2 linked regions of the Astyanax mexicanus genome follow. The protein of the gene in region 1 interacts with the protein of each later gene in a biochemical or structural test. Links are inferred from orthologs where the notes say so. Each region holds a gene or a part of one and is shown in the gene's direction. Other genes may lie near its edges. The genes, in order: arhgef16 and tax1bp3.

Region 1 (7,452 bases):
TAACCTACAAACCTCCAGCTCCATTACATGTACACACAAGAGCTCATAAAGTGGATAGCTTTGAGATGGCTTAGTAGAGTTCAGGGTAAATAATGGATTCGTAATACTTTTAAATAAGAAATCTGTTTGATTTTACAAAGGCCAAAAGCCTGTGATCTATAGCGGCCCTGTGTACATCTATAGATAACTATTTTTTTTAAGGAAAAACATCCACAGCATCCCAGCGATGATACATCAACATATCATTTCAAAAGATCTAATGCATGCTTAGCAAACGCTTCTAGCCATGCATGCTTATACAGACTGAGGTTTTCCCACATTTCTTATTTTTTCAAATCTTTTAAAGTATTTTCAGAGATAGTAATATATATTTAGAGATATTATCCTACACACATATTTTTAACCAGCCGTAACCATCATTAGGACAATTTCATGAAAGTTTAAATTAAATAACAGGGCTTTAGTATTAAGTGCTTGGACCCCAGTGATAGCTAAAGAGATATTTGATATGAAACTGCATATTAACTGCAATGATTTCGTACAAAAAAAATTAAGAGTTTTACTTACTATGTTGAAATTAAGAAAAATATAGGCAATAATTTTCATATTACATCCTGACTTCTATTAATGTACATTAATTATGAATTACACAATGTTCATCCTTTTTCTTTTCCAGTCCAGGAATTCCAGGTGCTTAGTTAATTAATGAGTGTAGTTATAATGTAGAGAAACAAGCCAAGGCCAATGTTCTTAAGAATAGAATTATTATTTAATATATACATTTTTTTTCTTCTTTTATCCTTAATGACAACATGAAATTGTTTATTCAGTCATGCAGTCGATGGTCTTATTACACTAAGTGACCATTGCCCAGAACACTAGAACAACAGGAGAGTTCTGTTATGAATGATGTTATATATTTTTAAATCAAGAATTAAATACGTTTATACCAAGTTGACAAGTATAAAAAGTGAACTTTAGTACAACATCAGTTTTACACACATGTAAAAAAAATAACTGTGGTTGTTTGTTTAACCCCACAGTCAGGTCCTATTGTTACCGTATTGGATATTATAAATCACGCAGAGAAATGCTTTCAGTACCATCATGTGGCCAAAAATATGAAACAGAATGAAAATGATGATAATCATCATGTTTTAGAACCTTTATCACTTTTTAGCTTTCCTCCTAGTGGTGAACCGTAGCTACTACACTTAGGGTACCTGGACCTTGGAAAAGTGCCGGATGTGTCTTCTGAATGTGCGTGTGTATATATGTGGTGTCCGTCCTGTGTCATGAAATGTGTGATAGGTAAACTTGACATATTTTGAGTGTATATTTTTTGAAACTGTAAAAAAAAGATATCTGAATATTATACAGCTGTATGTGTATTGCATGGTCATCGTTGAGTAATCGTTTGGAAAAATATTCCACTTAAATCCATTTGATGCCATATTAAAACCGAGATATATGTGAACATCATTGCCATTAGAAGATTTTCTATTCATGTCTAATGTATATAGTAAGCCTGAGTAACTCTTTATTGCCCTTTTGTTGTTACATTGTGCTCCAATACATTTTATTTTCTTTCTCAGCCTTTGCTTGCATTGGTTTATCAATGTACACCTTCCTTTTCAGACTGGCAGATTGAATAAAAACCGAAATTACAGCATCTGAGCTTCTGAGTTCTTGCATTTTATAGAGCTGATGTGGTGGATCATACAGAAATTCTGCTGGGATGTGGTTATACTTCTGTTTGAACAGCAGGTGGCGTAGTGGGACTACTTCCAGATCTTAATAGCGAGGCTGATCTCAGCACACAGAATAGGTATGGGCAGCACTATTGATTTTTATGACTCATTCAATATTAAATAATACAAATACCTTTATTCTTTACAGTTAAATGATCCAGTAAACATCATATTCTATCCTAATTAAACTTAAAAAAGAACTGATTGTTTTGCAGAATGGAACTACAAACTGCTGGTCCGATTAGTACCTAAAGAAAACACTTAGTTTTAATTATATATATATATATATATATATATTAATATACTCTAAAAGTTAGAATGACGATATATCGACTGATTAATATTACGACTATTACCAGACCTAACTTCTGAAGGAAAACATCTTAACATTCAATAGAAGTCAGTGTTAAAGGCCATTCCATCGAATGGGTGCCATTTGCTTGTAATTCTTCGAAATTAAACTTTTTCTCTTTTTTTTAAACTTTGAAACTGATAACTCATATTAATTATTCAAAACATGTGCTGGTCAATCTCAGGCAGTTTTACTTATTTTTTTAAAAGGTTTCTAAGCCGAAAATGTTTAAAAAAAAAAAAACTGTTAAAAGCAAGTCCACTAATTCCTTTAATTTTCTCTCAAGAAAGTATTTTAAAGAAATTGTTGACTGCATATTTAAATAATTGATATTTATGACAAAAAAAAAATAATTTACTGGGACTCATTCCTCCAAATGGAGCTCACTCCTGTTAATGGAACTGACTCCTGTTACTTTTTATATGTTTTGAGTAACAGGAATAAATTTTTATCATAGAATTAGCAAAAACATTAAAAATAGCTCAAATAAATCTGCTTTGCAAATAGCATGAGGATGCTCAACACATTCTAGTTGTTTTCACAAAATTTGTATTTTAAAAATAAACAAATAATATCTAAGAACTGATTCAGGTAACAGGAATGAGTGTTGAGATGACAAATGGGGGAACTTAATTTTGGTCTTCCTATGGTCTTTAGAAGAAGAAGCTGATGTCACTTCCTGTTGAAGATGTGACTTGTAAAATGTTTAAGATGGGATAATGTTTTACTTTAACAGGAATGAGTGAAACCCTGGCAACACAACTAAAATGTGTATTTTATTTTAAATATTATGAACTTATTATGAAAAAAATATATTTTTAAAACATAGATGGGATTTGGAGTCACAGAACAATGCAAAAAATTAATTTCTGAAGGATTTTAACAATTATATTTCATAGTAAATTTTATAGTTTATAGTGGGGACAGGTAACAAATTAAGCTATTTTTTCCAGTGTAATAAGCAGTTTTTTAAATGTTTTTAATTACATATCTTACTTTTGCAATTATGTCAATGTACAATACAGTATGCTTAATAATAAAATGTAGTTTAAAGTTATTTATAACATTTATACATGTAATTTCCTACAATGGCACCGAATTGATGGAATGGGTCTTATATAATGAATAATTCTGATTTATATCATTCTTTTATTATTCTTTATATTTCTGTGAAAAAAAATGAAAAAAAGCAAGAGGAACAGTGGTGACGGGCTTTATTTTTTTCCCCGCTAAGTTTCCTCATGAAACTATCACTGATTGTGAACATTTCACACTAGACCTCAAGCACTTTGGACTGTGTGCTTCTCCACTTTTCCTCCAGACTCTGCTCCTTTGATTTTCCAAAGTCAGTGCAGTGTTTTCCCAGAAAATCTTACAGCACTTCATGCTTCCCTCTGCTGACAACGTCTATGAAGATCTAGATTTCATTTTCCAGCAGGACTTGGCACACTACTAAAAGTACCAATTGATCTTATATGATTTTTTTGATTTCTGAGACACTGATTTTTGGGTTTTCATTTGCTGTAAGCCATAATTATCAACAATAAAATAAGTAAACACTTAAAATAGATCTCTCTGTATTTAATACATCTATATAATATGATTTTTACATTCTAAACTGCATTACTGAATAAAGTAACTTTTTAATGATAATCTTTTTTTTTTTTTTGAGATCCATTAGTATAAATGTTATATTGGACATGCAGGGAATGGAATCTAATTAATTAAATATGCTTCTGTCGTCACTGATTTATACAGAGAACAAGTTCACTGCACTGATATTTTCCCTAAAGGTTGTACATTATTATGAGTAAAGGACAGGAGACAGACATGTGAACACTCCTCTGATTATACAGTAAACGAGCTCTTGAACACAGCAGAGGACTTGCTTCACTCACCTGTGAGTGACGCACCTTCAGAAAGAGAGAGAGAGAGAGAGATTGTTAACAGGCGAGGCGGTGCAGCGATTCTGAGGAGCTAATAACTAGAAAACAACACCAAACTCACCTAAACCTGCAGAACTGAACTGAAAGCTGCAGATTTCCCGCTGAACTGCTCCTGTTCCCCGGAGCACAGCTGCGCTGCTTTAGAGGTAAGCTCGAGTTTGTGAATGTTGTGAACAGTCAGTAAAACTTGGTTTCTCAGTCTGAGTGTGTGTTTGTTAGTTTCTGAGACGGTGGGAGTGTTGGAGCAGTGGAGCAGTAGACTGAAGGAGGAAAAAGTGTCGAGGCTGACGGACAGACAGACAGTCTACCTGAGGAGAGCTGAGTGATTGAGTAATTAGCACCTTTCCTGCAAAAACAACAAACATACTGTCTAAAAGTTTGTTAAAAAACGCTATTTATGGGGATTTTTTTTTACAGGGCAACAAGTACTGATTTTAACAGGTCTGTGAGTTAGAGCTAGCTGCAGCTGTTCACCATGTATGTAGTGATTACCCTGAACATTTTAGCTAGCTTACCACGTCAGTCTACTCTATACAACACTCTATACATGTCGGCTCTGCACTATATAACTATGGCAAAAATGTAACAGAAGTATTTATATTCTGTGTGTGTGTGTGTGTGTGTGTGTCTGTGTGTGTGTGTCTGTGTGTGTGTGTGTGTGTGTGTGTGTGTGTGTGTGTGTGTGTGTGTGTGTGTTTGTCTACTGGAGGAAATAACTTCCCACATTTTTTAGGAAATGATTTTAAAATTTCCTAAAATGGGTTTGTGTTTTCAGCTGTGGAATGTTCTGGATAGCATGTTTTATTATTGGATTTTTTTTTTATTCACATGAATAATGTACTTTTCTTCCTTAACAGACAAATTTTACAAAGTAAAATACGATAATCATTAGCATGTTTCTCTTATAATAATATAGAATAATTATTATTTTATAGTTGCATAACCCGCACACTCTATTTCTGTTATGTCTACATATTGTAAGTCTAGACATTAACCCATTCAGACCTGAATTATCTCCAGTGATGGAAAAAAAATGACTGTAATATTCTACTATAAAATCTATATAGCAAATGAATCCAATTAACTAAAATATGTAACAGTTTTTTTTCTTTCCATTTAAATTGCATTGGAAAGCTTGTGTGTAATATTTTATATTTCATATTGACCTTTTTATTTCATAATTTAATTTATTTCATAAACCATCCCTAAACAGTTAAAAACATGAAACACTCCACTGTTCTAGTGGCCCGAGGTAAAATATGTTTCTGTAGTGAAAGTAGAAGTTTTCCATTTATCTTATCTTATAAAGAGATGCTTTTAAAAGAGAGTAAAAGCACATCAGCAGGTGAACGTATACAGTAGTTTAATTATATCTCGATAGGTCAGAAAAAGAGAGAAAGAGAGAGAGAGAGAACTGAAAAGAAAGAAAAGGGGGTGCCGACCCTTGTGTGACTTTTCCCCCTACCCAACCACCTATACTGCATACTTCCAAGCAGTTACACCTTTATGCAAATGATATGTAAACCATATAGGATCAAATACAATTGGATAGAATCTATCAATTTATCAAATTACTTTGTCAGCAGTGTCCAGTTAACCGCTTGTTGTCCAATGGAAATAAAAGTATGGTAACAAGACATTTTTCAACTAATATCAGGTGAAAGGACTCACTCTTGGTTCAGCAGTCTTTAATAGAATATCATTACTTATTTTAATACTGAAGGCAAACAATTTCCATGAATCAAGCAGCTGTAGATATCTTTTTGTTGACCACGCAAAGTCTTATGTTAATATTTATTTACATTTTAGTTACCAGTTATTAAATACTTGCTACACTATCACAGGATAACATAGCATAATGTGGTGAAGTAAAAAGTAAGAAATTTCCCTCCCAAAATTGAAATACTTCAGTAAAGATATGAAGAAAATACAGTACAGTGACTAATTAGATTTACTTTGTTGAAATAATACATATTGTGTCATAATGAGTATTTTTACATAATTTAAATAAACACAATATTGTTTTAATTAAAAAAAAATAAAATAAAATAAACTTCATTATTTGCCAATATAAAACTTGTTACGGAGCTCATGCTTGTTGACAGACAAAACAAAACCGAAACCTCTTGCTTTGTACACTGACTTGCTGCATGTCATAGGATAGAAACTAGTACATGTTTACAATTATTTATGCAATGTTCCATAGAATTAAAAAAAAATGCGTGTAAGGCTTCCTGCCAGAGTCTCTTGTCCCTTCGAATGGGACAAATTTAGCCAGATGCCATCTGTCCTATTCACTACCACCCATTCCTCTGTCCACTGTGAGTGGTAATGCCTTCTATTACATTTAATGTACAAATGTGACTGTGAATTGAGAAATGCTACACACTTTTTAGACCTTACTCAAACTCGTTGGCCAGTATTCTACCTCTTTTACAAGATAACACCTCACAGCTTATATAGGTGTGGGCATTCCCAGGCTTTACCCTGTGATAACACTAAATGGTTAGCAGTTTACATACTGCCTTACCTTATCCTTTGGTATTTCTTTTTTTTTTTTAGCATTTTTATGTTAATTATTACAAACAGAAAAGTGAAAGTTGAGTGAAATGTGATCATTTTTCTTTAATATTTTAAATAATAATGTTGATACATGTTCTTGAAGGCTATGAAATCTTTTGTGGTTGCATGGCTCACGGTGTGGGTTGCAGAAGCCTGGGAAAACCTGTCCCAAAACATATTTTGAATCTGTGGTGGCTGAGGTATGTGCAGAGTATTGTAAGGCAAAATTTTATCCAAGGAAAACTGATTTGCTATTATTCAACCACTTTACTTCCACCTCTGAATGCATCTGAAAAACTTAGTTTATAAATCAAGAATGTGCTAGTGCAGAAGTTTGGAAAACCATGAAAGAACTGTACCAATGAAAGATCTGTATCATAAAAGAACTGGGCAGTACACATTGATACATCTGTATAGAAGAAGCTGTAAAGTATGCAGAATTCGCAAGGCAAAGAAATGTGCCAAGTCTTTTCGTAACCCTGTAACTGCATCTGTGGCTCATGAATTCCTGAAAGTCACAGTGCAATAAAAGTGGTAGTAGAAACCCCTCCTTCTTTACTGTGTTGTTGTTATTGAAAAACAACACAGCCTTTTTTTGAATAGTTCTGAAACTAGATCTTTTGAATGCATTTAGTCGTAATTGTAATGCAAGCCAACTGCTCCACCTGACGTCCCACCCATCTCTGTCCCAGCATGCAGGTTTCAACAATGGTCCGCTGACTGGTCTGTGTGGATGTTCCCTGAATGACAGAAAGCCCCTCAGGACTTCATTTCTACAGTGAAACTTCAGCAACGCACCATGACGCACAGGCATTCTCAGGGATCCATGGGGGACCAGTCT
Region 2 (7,531 bases), on another chromosome or scaffold:
GAATCTTTAACCAGAACATCAATACATCTAGCCAGACATTTATTTAATATTTTTAATTCTTTTTAATTTATTGTTTATTTACTGTCCCCATAAAAACATACTACTACATAATACTAATTGTATTGCTATGTGGCAGCTGTCTCCAGGAATTAACCACTGACACTCTGCATGTATGTGTCTCTGTGTCTCTTAACAGACGCGTGTGGACTGACAGACCCGGCCCATGTAGAGAGTCTGCAGGAGAAAGCCCAGGTGGCCCTGACCGAATACGAGCGCATGCAGTATCCCACCCAGCCACAGCGTTTCGGCCGCCTGCTACTGCGTCTGCCCTCGCTCAGAGCCGTGCCCGCCAACCTCATCTCTCAGCTCTTCTTCATGCGGCTGGTTGGAAAGACGCCCATCGAGACGCTGATCCGAGACATGCAGCTCTCAGGCAGCTCAATTAGCTGGCCCTACGTGCCCGGACAGTAATTGAGTTGACGAGCTGCTTGTCACCCACTTAAACTCTTGACTTTCATGTTCTGTGTGGGCTTTCTAGATTCTCAGTGCGTGATTTCTTAGTCGCTGCGTGAATGTTCATGTTGTGTTATATTCTGCAACACCTCTCTGCTCATTTAGTGTACATGGTGAAGGAGAAAAGGTGAGTACGCTCTCACATGTCCTTAGGCGCATTAATCGAGCCACTCAAGTTTGGGATACCTCAGGTTTTTTACTTCAACGTCAAAACTTTCAGACAAGACTTTTTAGGCATGTTTTATGTGCATCAGCACAGCGGCAGACGAGAAACATCAACAAAGTATTGCACGATTTTTAACAAAAGAAACCATGATGAACTGATGGGGTGGCAGCCCTGAAGAGACGTCTTGGTGCTGCAAGTTTGTGAGATTGACGTTGGTCCAGCTTTAAACGTGAGATATTACGGGAGATTTCTTGGTACCCTATAAATAATTACTATATGAATTATAATGAGTGTAGTTTAGATGAAGACTCATGAAGGTTTTGTCATGGACTGCAATGCTATGTCAAAAAAAAATTGGGAAGCCTGACCACTTACTTGAAAAATCAGTTAATTAATGTGTTGTGATGATCACATTGTTTTGGAATAGTTCTGTGTACTCTAAATAATTGGGTCCAAAAAACAAACATTTCATACTGTCAATCATGAAAAATATCCAATATTTTTGCATACTAATAATAAAGACAGAATATTCATTCAAAAACTCCACTGTGGAGGATCTTTGGCTGGGCTACAACTTTTTTTTTGATTTGATGATGATGTTGATGGCATTTGTGATCTTACACAAAAAGGGGAAAAAGTCACAGTTTGGGTCATACATTTTTTTGTGTAAGCAATTATAAGTACTAGTAAGGTAGATACAAAATGAGTGTTTAACATGAATCTCCCTAAACATTTCTTGAGGCTTATTCCAAGAAGCATCATTTGTCAATAGAGGCCGTCATTTCATTCATGAAAGTGATACTGACTCGATGAGGAACGCTTTAGTATACATATTTAAATATACAATAACATAGCCAAAACATTAGCTCAACTGACAGGTGAACATCTTCATTGATCATCTTCATCTACAGTGGCATATGTCATGGAATGGATATATTGGGCACAAAGTTCTTGAAATTATGTGTTTAAAACAGGAAATCGGCAAACATGAAAATGTGAGTCACTCTGACAAGAGCCAAATTCTGATGGCTAGATGACTGGATCAGAAAATCATCAAACATCAGGCAGGTATGTTCTGGTGATGTGAGGTCTGACCTCATAACTTAGGACCAGAACAAGGAGTCCATGCCGTGAATGGTCAGATTGATTGTGTTGGGACAAGGGGGACCTACTTAATATTATGTAGGTGGTAGAAGTAATGTAATATAGATAAGATATATAGATAGATAATCAGTAGAGGTTCATGTAGTTGTATGAACTCAGCGCTTCACTAATGTATTCTTTATTTATTTTTAGAGTTAATACTGTTTTCACAATTTATTTGCAAGTTATACATATCTACTGCTATGGTGCCATGGGCAAAGATGTCAAAATCAAAGAATTGAATTGTTCTAGAATTGTTTTTCAGTGAAATCACCCTTTGCAGTGTAATGAAATAACCAAAGAGATGTGATGAGCCATGATTTAACTTGTTAATTTTTGCTCGGCTGAAATCCATAGTATATTGTCAATGTCTAGTGAAATGCAGACATAATTTGAACCTAAGGCCTTTAATTGTTAACAGTTGGGAACTGTTAACAGTTAAGTATGGGGGCGCTTATCTCTGTATATATTTATTCGATTTTTTTCTCACAAAGATTTGGACATAGCCACATGGTTGCTGGCTCATTTCTGACATGGAGCTCTGAAACCCTAGAGAACAAGGGCAGTGCAAACTGAAGCCATTCTCTGAACAGATGCATACAGAAGTTGGTGAAGTGGTGCCAGAATAATCACTGAAATCAATGAACAGCAGAATCAGTCGTTTTTCCACAAATGTGTAAATTGCTGTAGTAGTTGGTAAAATGTAAAATATAATGCTATAAAGTGGTTCGTCAGCTACAGGGATCTGCATGGACCTGAAAATCATGCAGCTGGCCAGTAAACACAAAGAAAGGCCAAAGTGCGATACCCCTGTGCCCCCTGCTGGCCACGTGTTTGGACAAACCGCATATAGGCCCTGCTATACATAGTCTTTCAGTGTCTTTAGGTCTTTTGTTCAGAGCAGCTACAGACCGAAATCACTAAATTTCATATTGATATGTTTAAGAGAGACCATTTAAAAATGATGGGTTTCCTTGATTTTACCAAATTGAAAACCTCTGGAATATAATCAAGAAGAAGATGAAATGTTTGCACCAGGCACCAAGAGTGGCGTAAAGTTATCCAAAAGCAGTGTGTAAAACTGGTGGAGGAGAACATGCCAAGATGCATGAAACTGTGATTAAAAAACGGGTTATTTTAGGCAAATATTGATTTCTAAACTTTATATAAATAGTATATGATCTTCATAAAGTTTTCTTGGCATTATTTAAGGTCTGAAACCTTTGCATCGTTTTTAAGTTTTAAGCCATTTTTCATTTCCTGCAAATAAATGCTCTAAATGAAAATATTTTAGTTGGAATTTGAGAAAATGTTGTCTATAGTTTATAGGCAAGGCAAGATTTTCCAGAGCTGTATTTATGCCAGAGAAGCAGAACCATTTACATCGTCGCCTCCTCTTACAGCCATACTGTTAAACGTTCGTTAAGGTTTTTCAATTACAAACTGTGGAGGAACCCCTTAAGGTGCTTTGATGAACCTTAAGATAACAAGTTCCTTCTAAAAAAAACATTTATATATATTATTTAAGGGCTTTCTCCAACTTCAAAAGGTTCCTGCAGAAAATCTAGGCGTGGCTGCAATATTATAATCCAAAACACTTCTGAACAAAAAAAATAAATGCAATGAGATCTATATATTACTCTGATAAGATTTGTCGCACTACCACGGCCTTTAAAACATAGTGTGATGCTAAACATCACCAGCTGGGGTCGCGGTGTGGTCACTTTTTGCCCTTCCATTGTTGTACTGAGCATTTATTTACTTGATTGTGTGAGGGGGGCTTTGTCTTCCCAACAATGAAAGAGCACCGTGGCTGTTAAGCTTATAAATCTGAAGAGCTGAGTTTCCAGATTAGCAATATAACGGAGGGTCAATTGTGCAGCGCACAGGCCACTCTCTTCAGTTCTACCCATTGATGAATTAATACAGTAGTTCTCAAACTTTTAAGGCAATGTACCAGCAAACTAAACCCCCCATGTACAGCTCTGGAAAATATTTAGAGACCACTTCAGTTTCTGAATCAGTTTCTCTGATTTTGCTATTTTAACTACGGGCAACATTCCTTCCAAATTCCTAATAAAAATATTGTCATTTAGAGCATTTATTTGCAGAAAATTAAAATGGGCTGAAATAACAAAACGATTCAGAGATTTTAGTCTTACACACTGCTTTTGGATAACTTTATGCCACTCCTGGTGCAAAAAATCAAGCAGTTCAGCTTGGTTTAATGGCTTGTGATCATCCATTTTCCTCTTGATCATATTTCATAGATTCATTTTGGCAAAATCAAAGAAACTCATAACTTTTAAGTGATCTCTTATTTTTTCCAAAGCTGTATATAACTGTTATACGTCTGGATGCTTCTGGAACACCTGAAATGTTTGCCAGTGCTTTGCCACAGCGATAATCACAGAGATGTAATCAAACAGATGCAACATTACAGATTTTAAATATAAACTTGCTAAAGGTATTTTTACAAACCTTTTGGAAAGTGCTGAATGAGGAGGAGGAGGAGGAGGAGGAGTGAGTTCTCCTTTTCTCCAGCTTTCCTTTTCTGGCTCTGCCCCCAGCATGTCATCTGCATGTTGTCATTCATGGGTGTAACCGCAGACCATCGGTCCTAAAAAACCTGAGAAGAGTTCATTGTTCGCTCGTTGAGGGAAAGGAAATCTTCTGTCATTCATTTTAATATGTCTTTCATACCGGGACAGCCTGTCACAGCTGTAGTGGTGAGTTCTTTTGATTATAAACTAGAGAAAGTTTCCGGGTTTCAGATACAGATAGGGTAGTTAAATGTCTAGCCCACCTCTGTTCATTCGCCTCTACTGTAGCGTTTAGCTAGCCTAACTACAGAGGAGGACTTTCCTTGGACTAAGGAAACTAGTTAGCTTAACTTGCAAACAAAGATAACGCGCAGTTTGTCGTGTTTTGTAAACGACCATCATGTAGTTGCTGTATGTGAATTAGGAAATGCGTACGTTTACGGAATTTAAAGTTAACGTACTTTGGTTGCTTTGCAGTGAAGCTAACCTAACGCTGGCTATGCTAAATAACGTACCCCCGTGTAATAACGTTAGCCGCCTAGCCAGCATTAGCATTAGCTCGCTCTGTGTTACAAGAGTTCCGGGTAGCTAGTTTAGCTAACAAACATTACTCAGAGTTAGTTCACTGTGTGGGTACTTTTTTACGAAGCTCTCAATATTATTAGAGACGTGTTTCTGGTTGTTCATTTAGTTAAAAAGTTAGCTAGCCTGCAATAAATCAAATAACTGCCTCGGTTAGCTGCCTAGCTAGAATAGGTTAGCTAACATACAGCTAGCCACTTCATCCATCAGCATTTGCTGTAGTTGCTATGCATAGACAGCTGAGTCTGTCTGTGAACCAGAACTGTTTTTTTTTTTTGTATGAAATAAAAGACAAACGTACGCTTCTAGTGAATAAAACAAATTATAAAGATTTACAATGAAGCTAAACCATGGATTAATAGTCAATTAAACATTTTATTAAAACATAAGTACAGCATTACATCATTACAGGTAATGCCTAGGTGTGGCTTAAGTAAATTTCTTACAGGTAGCTAGTACTGTATAGCCATATAAGGACAAGCAGAGTGGTATTAATGTTGTTGGTTTCACTGTGCTGGAGATAAGCTGTAACTTTTTTTTTTTTACCCCTCTTTTGTGTTTCAGCAAAGGATAGAGATTCAAAAACTACGAGACGGTGATAATTTAATATTGGGTTTTAGCATTGGAGGGGGAATTGATCAAGACCCAGGTCAAAATCCATTCTCAGAAGACAAGACAGACAAGGTGAGGCGTCTCAGATATTATAGCTGTCATGCAAAAAAACCCATATATTTCCATGCTGTTGTTCTCTTTTCTTCTATAAAGTTGACATACAATGTAATGCTTATATACTGAGTGGTATGTAAATCCTTGAAAGTGGTCACCCCCTCCTTCTCTAAAAAAGTCAATTCAGCTAACTGATGGTGAATCAGATGGGGTCATTTAGGATTAGACAGTTCTCTGAAGATCTCCAGGAACAGGGTTGGTGACCACTGTTGTACAACTTAAAAGTATTGTAATTTATTTTGGTTTAAGTATATTATTTTCTGCTTTTTTAGGGCATCTATGTCACAAGGGTGTCAAAGGGAGGTCCAGCAGAGGTCGCAGGCCTCATGATGGGAGATAAAATAATGCAGGTTGGGCAACTGAATAATGTCTTATGTTGACTAATGTTGAATAATCAGTGACATTTTAGCACCACATGTTTAGGGTATGGCTTGTTCTTACAAATACAATACTAACATGGAAAAATATGTTCTCTTAAAAACAGGTAAAGAGTAGTTTTATTTTTGCTCTGTAAAGTGGTTTTTATTTCAGATCAGTTTGACCACCAGAGGCTGCTATTAACCTACTGTTTGTGTTTCCGTTTTGACTTGAAGCTCTTAAACAAAATTATCTATGTTTTGTTGATTCAGTAGCTCTTGCATGCAGAATTTTTAGATATGGTCAGTTTTTGCTCATTCAGTTTGGCCTCATTAAGGAAATAGTCTTTGATTTCTGCAATGCTACACACATTCAGATGCAGTATGATTTAAAGGACAAGATTCGTTCACATTATAAAGGTTTATGGTACTTGGAAAGTTGAGAACCTGTTTGTTCATTATAGCACACAACGTTTTAACTGTAACATTCTTGTTACAGAAATGTTTAAGTGATTATATATAGTGTTATCTTATTGCTGAATATAATTTCTTGAATCATCAGTATGTTTTTTTATTATAACAGGTAAACGGCTGGGACATGACCATGGTGACTCATGACCAAGCGCGTAAAAGGCTAACAAAAAAGAATGAAGATGTAGTCAGGCTACTGGTGACCAGAAAATCTCTGCAGGATGCGGTTAGACAGTCCATGATGCCACACTAATAGCAATCTCTAACACTCCATTGAATGTCATTTGATAATCACACTACAGAATGTCCTTTTTTATATACTGTAATCCAACCAAATGCCAAAGAACAACAGTGAGCCATCATCTCAAAGACAGACTGAGTATTTGATTTGGGGTGATTTTTTACACCCCATAGGGGTGAATTTTCAATGTTTTCAAAAATAGTTCTGTGTGTTCAACACTAATGCTAAACAACTACTACATATAGCAGCAGTGTTACAGTGACAGTGTGAGTACAGATGATTGTCAATATGTAAATGATGTCCTATTCATTCATTGTTTGCAAGAACTATATGCAGCTACACTTAAAAACACTTATCAGTCATTGCCTTTTGTTTTGCTTTTTTTTTCCTTCTTAGATTGATGTTGAGTAATGCCAAGGAACATGTGTATCAATTCTACATAAAGACCACTAATTTCTTTCCTTTATCATTTTTATACAATGCTTATTTTCTTATGCATATACTACTTGTTTTGTTTGTTAATTCCTAATTATTGCTGCCAAATTAACATGATTGTTTCTCTATAGCAGAAGATCATAAAAGTTTTTTTTTTTGTGACACAAAATATCAACACTGTATTCCAATGATTTTCTACACTGTCTTTGATAGATTTTGGCATGTGGCTGTGTAAAAATATAGCTATTTTTTCCAATAAAAAAATCATTAGTAGCCTGTTATGTGTTACCTAGGTACCTATAAACATTAATTTATTGTAGTTAATCATATACTGAATCATTGTTATTGTTTAATG

The links.
Region 2: the proteins of arhgef16 (region 1) and tax1bp3 form a complex in vitro, tested with the Homo sapiens proteins (2 studies listed by BioGRID and IntAct, with this or other methods). The link is inferred for Astyanax mexicanus from reciprocal best matches to the Homo sapiens genes ARHGEF16 and TAX1BP3.

The regions. Positions count from the first base shown.
Region 1 is NC_064419.1:18,038,751-18,046,202, reverse strand, and holds the start of arhgef16 (rho guanine nucleotide exchange factor 16), read left to right. Parts: upstream 1-4,016; 5' UTR 4,017-4,195; intron 4,196-7,303; 5' UTR 7,304-7,410; coding exon 7,411-7,452. UniProt on the Homo sapiens protein: Guanyl-nucleotide exchange factor of the RHOG GTPase stimulating the exchange of RHOG-associated GDP for GTP. May play a role in chemotactic cell migration by mediating the activation of RAC1 by EPHA2.
Region 2 is NC_064423.1:19,202,737-19,210,267, reverse strand, and holds tax1bp3 (tax1-binding protein 3), read left to right. Parts: upstream 1-4,387; 5' UTR 4,388-4,512; coding exon 4,513-4,551; intron 4,552-5,511; coding exon 5,512-5,631; intron 5,632-5,945; coding exon 5,946-6,023; intron 6,024-6,612; coding exon 6,613-6,753; 3' UTR 6,754-7,449; downstream 7,450-7,531. Other genes in the region: nr2f6b (nuclear receptor subfamily 2 group F member 6b), read left to right, coding at 197-471. UniProt on the Homo sapiens protein: May regulate a number of protein-protein interactions by competing for PDZ domain binding sites. Binds CTNNB1 and may thereby act as an inhibitor of the Wnt signaling pathway. Competes with LIN7A for KCNJ4 binding, and thereby promotes KCNJ4 internalization.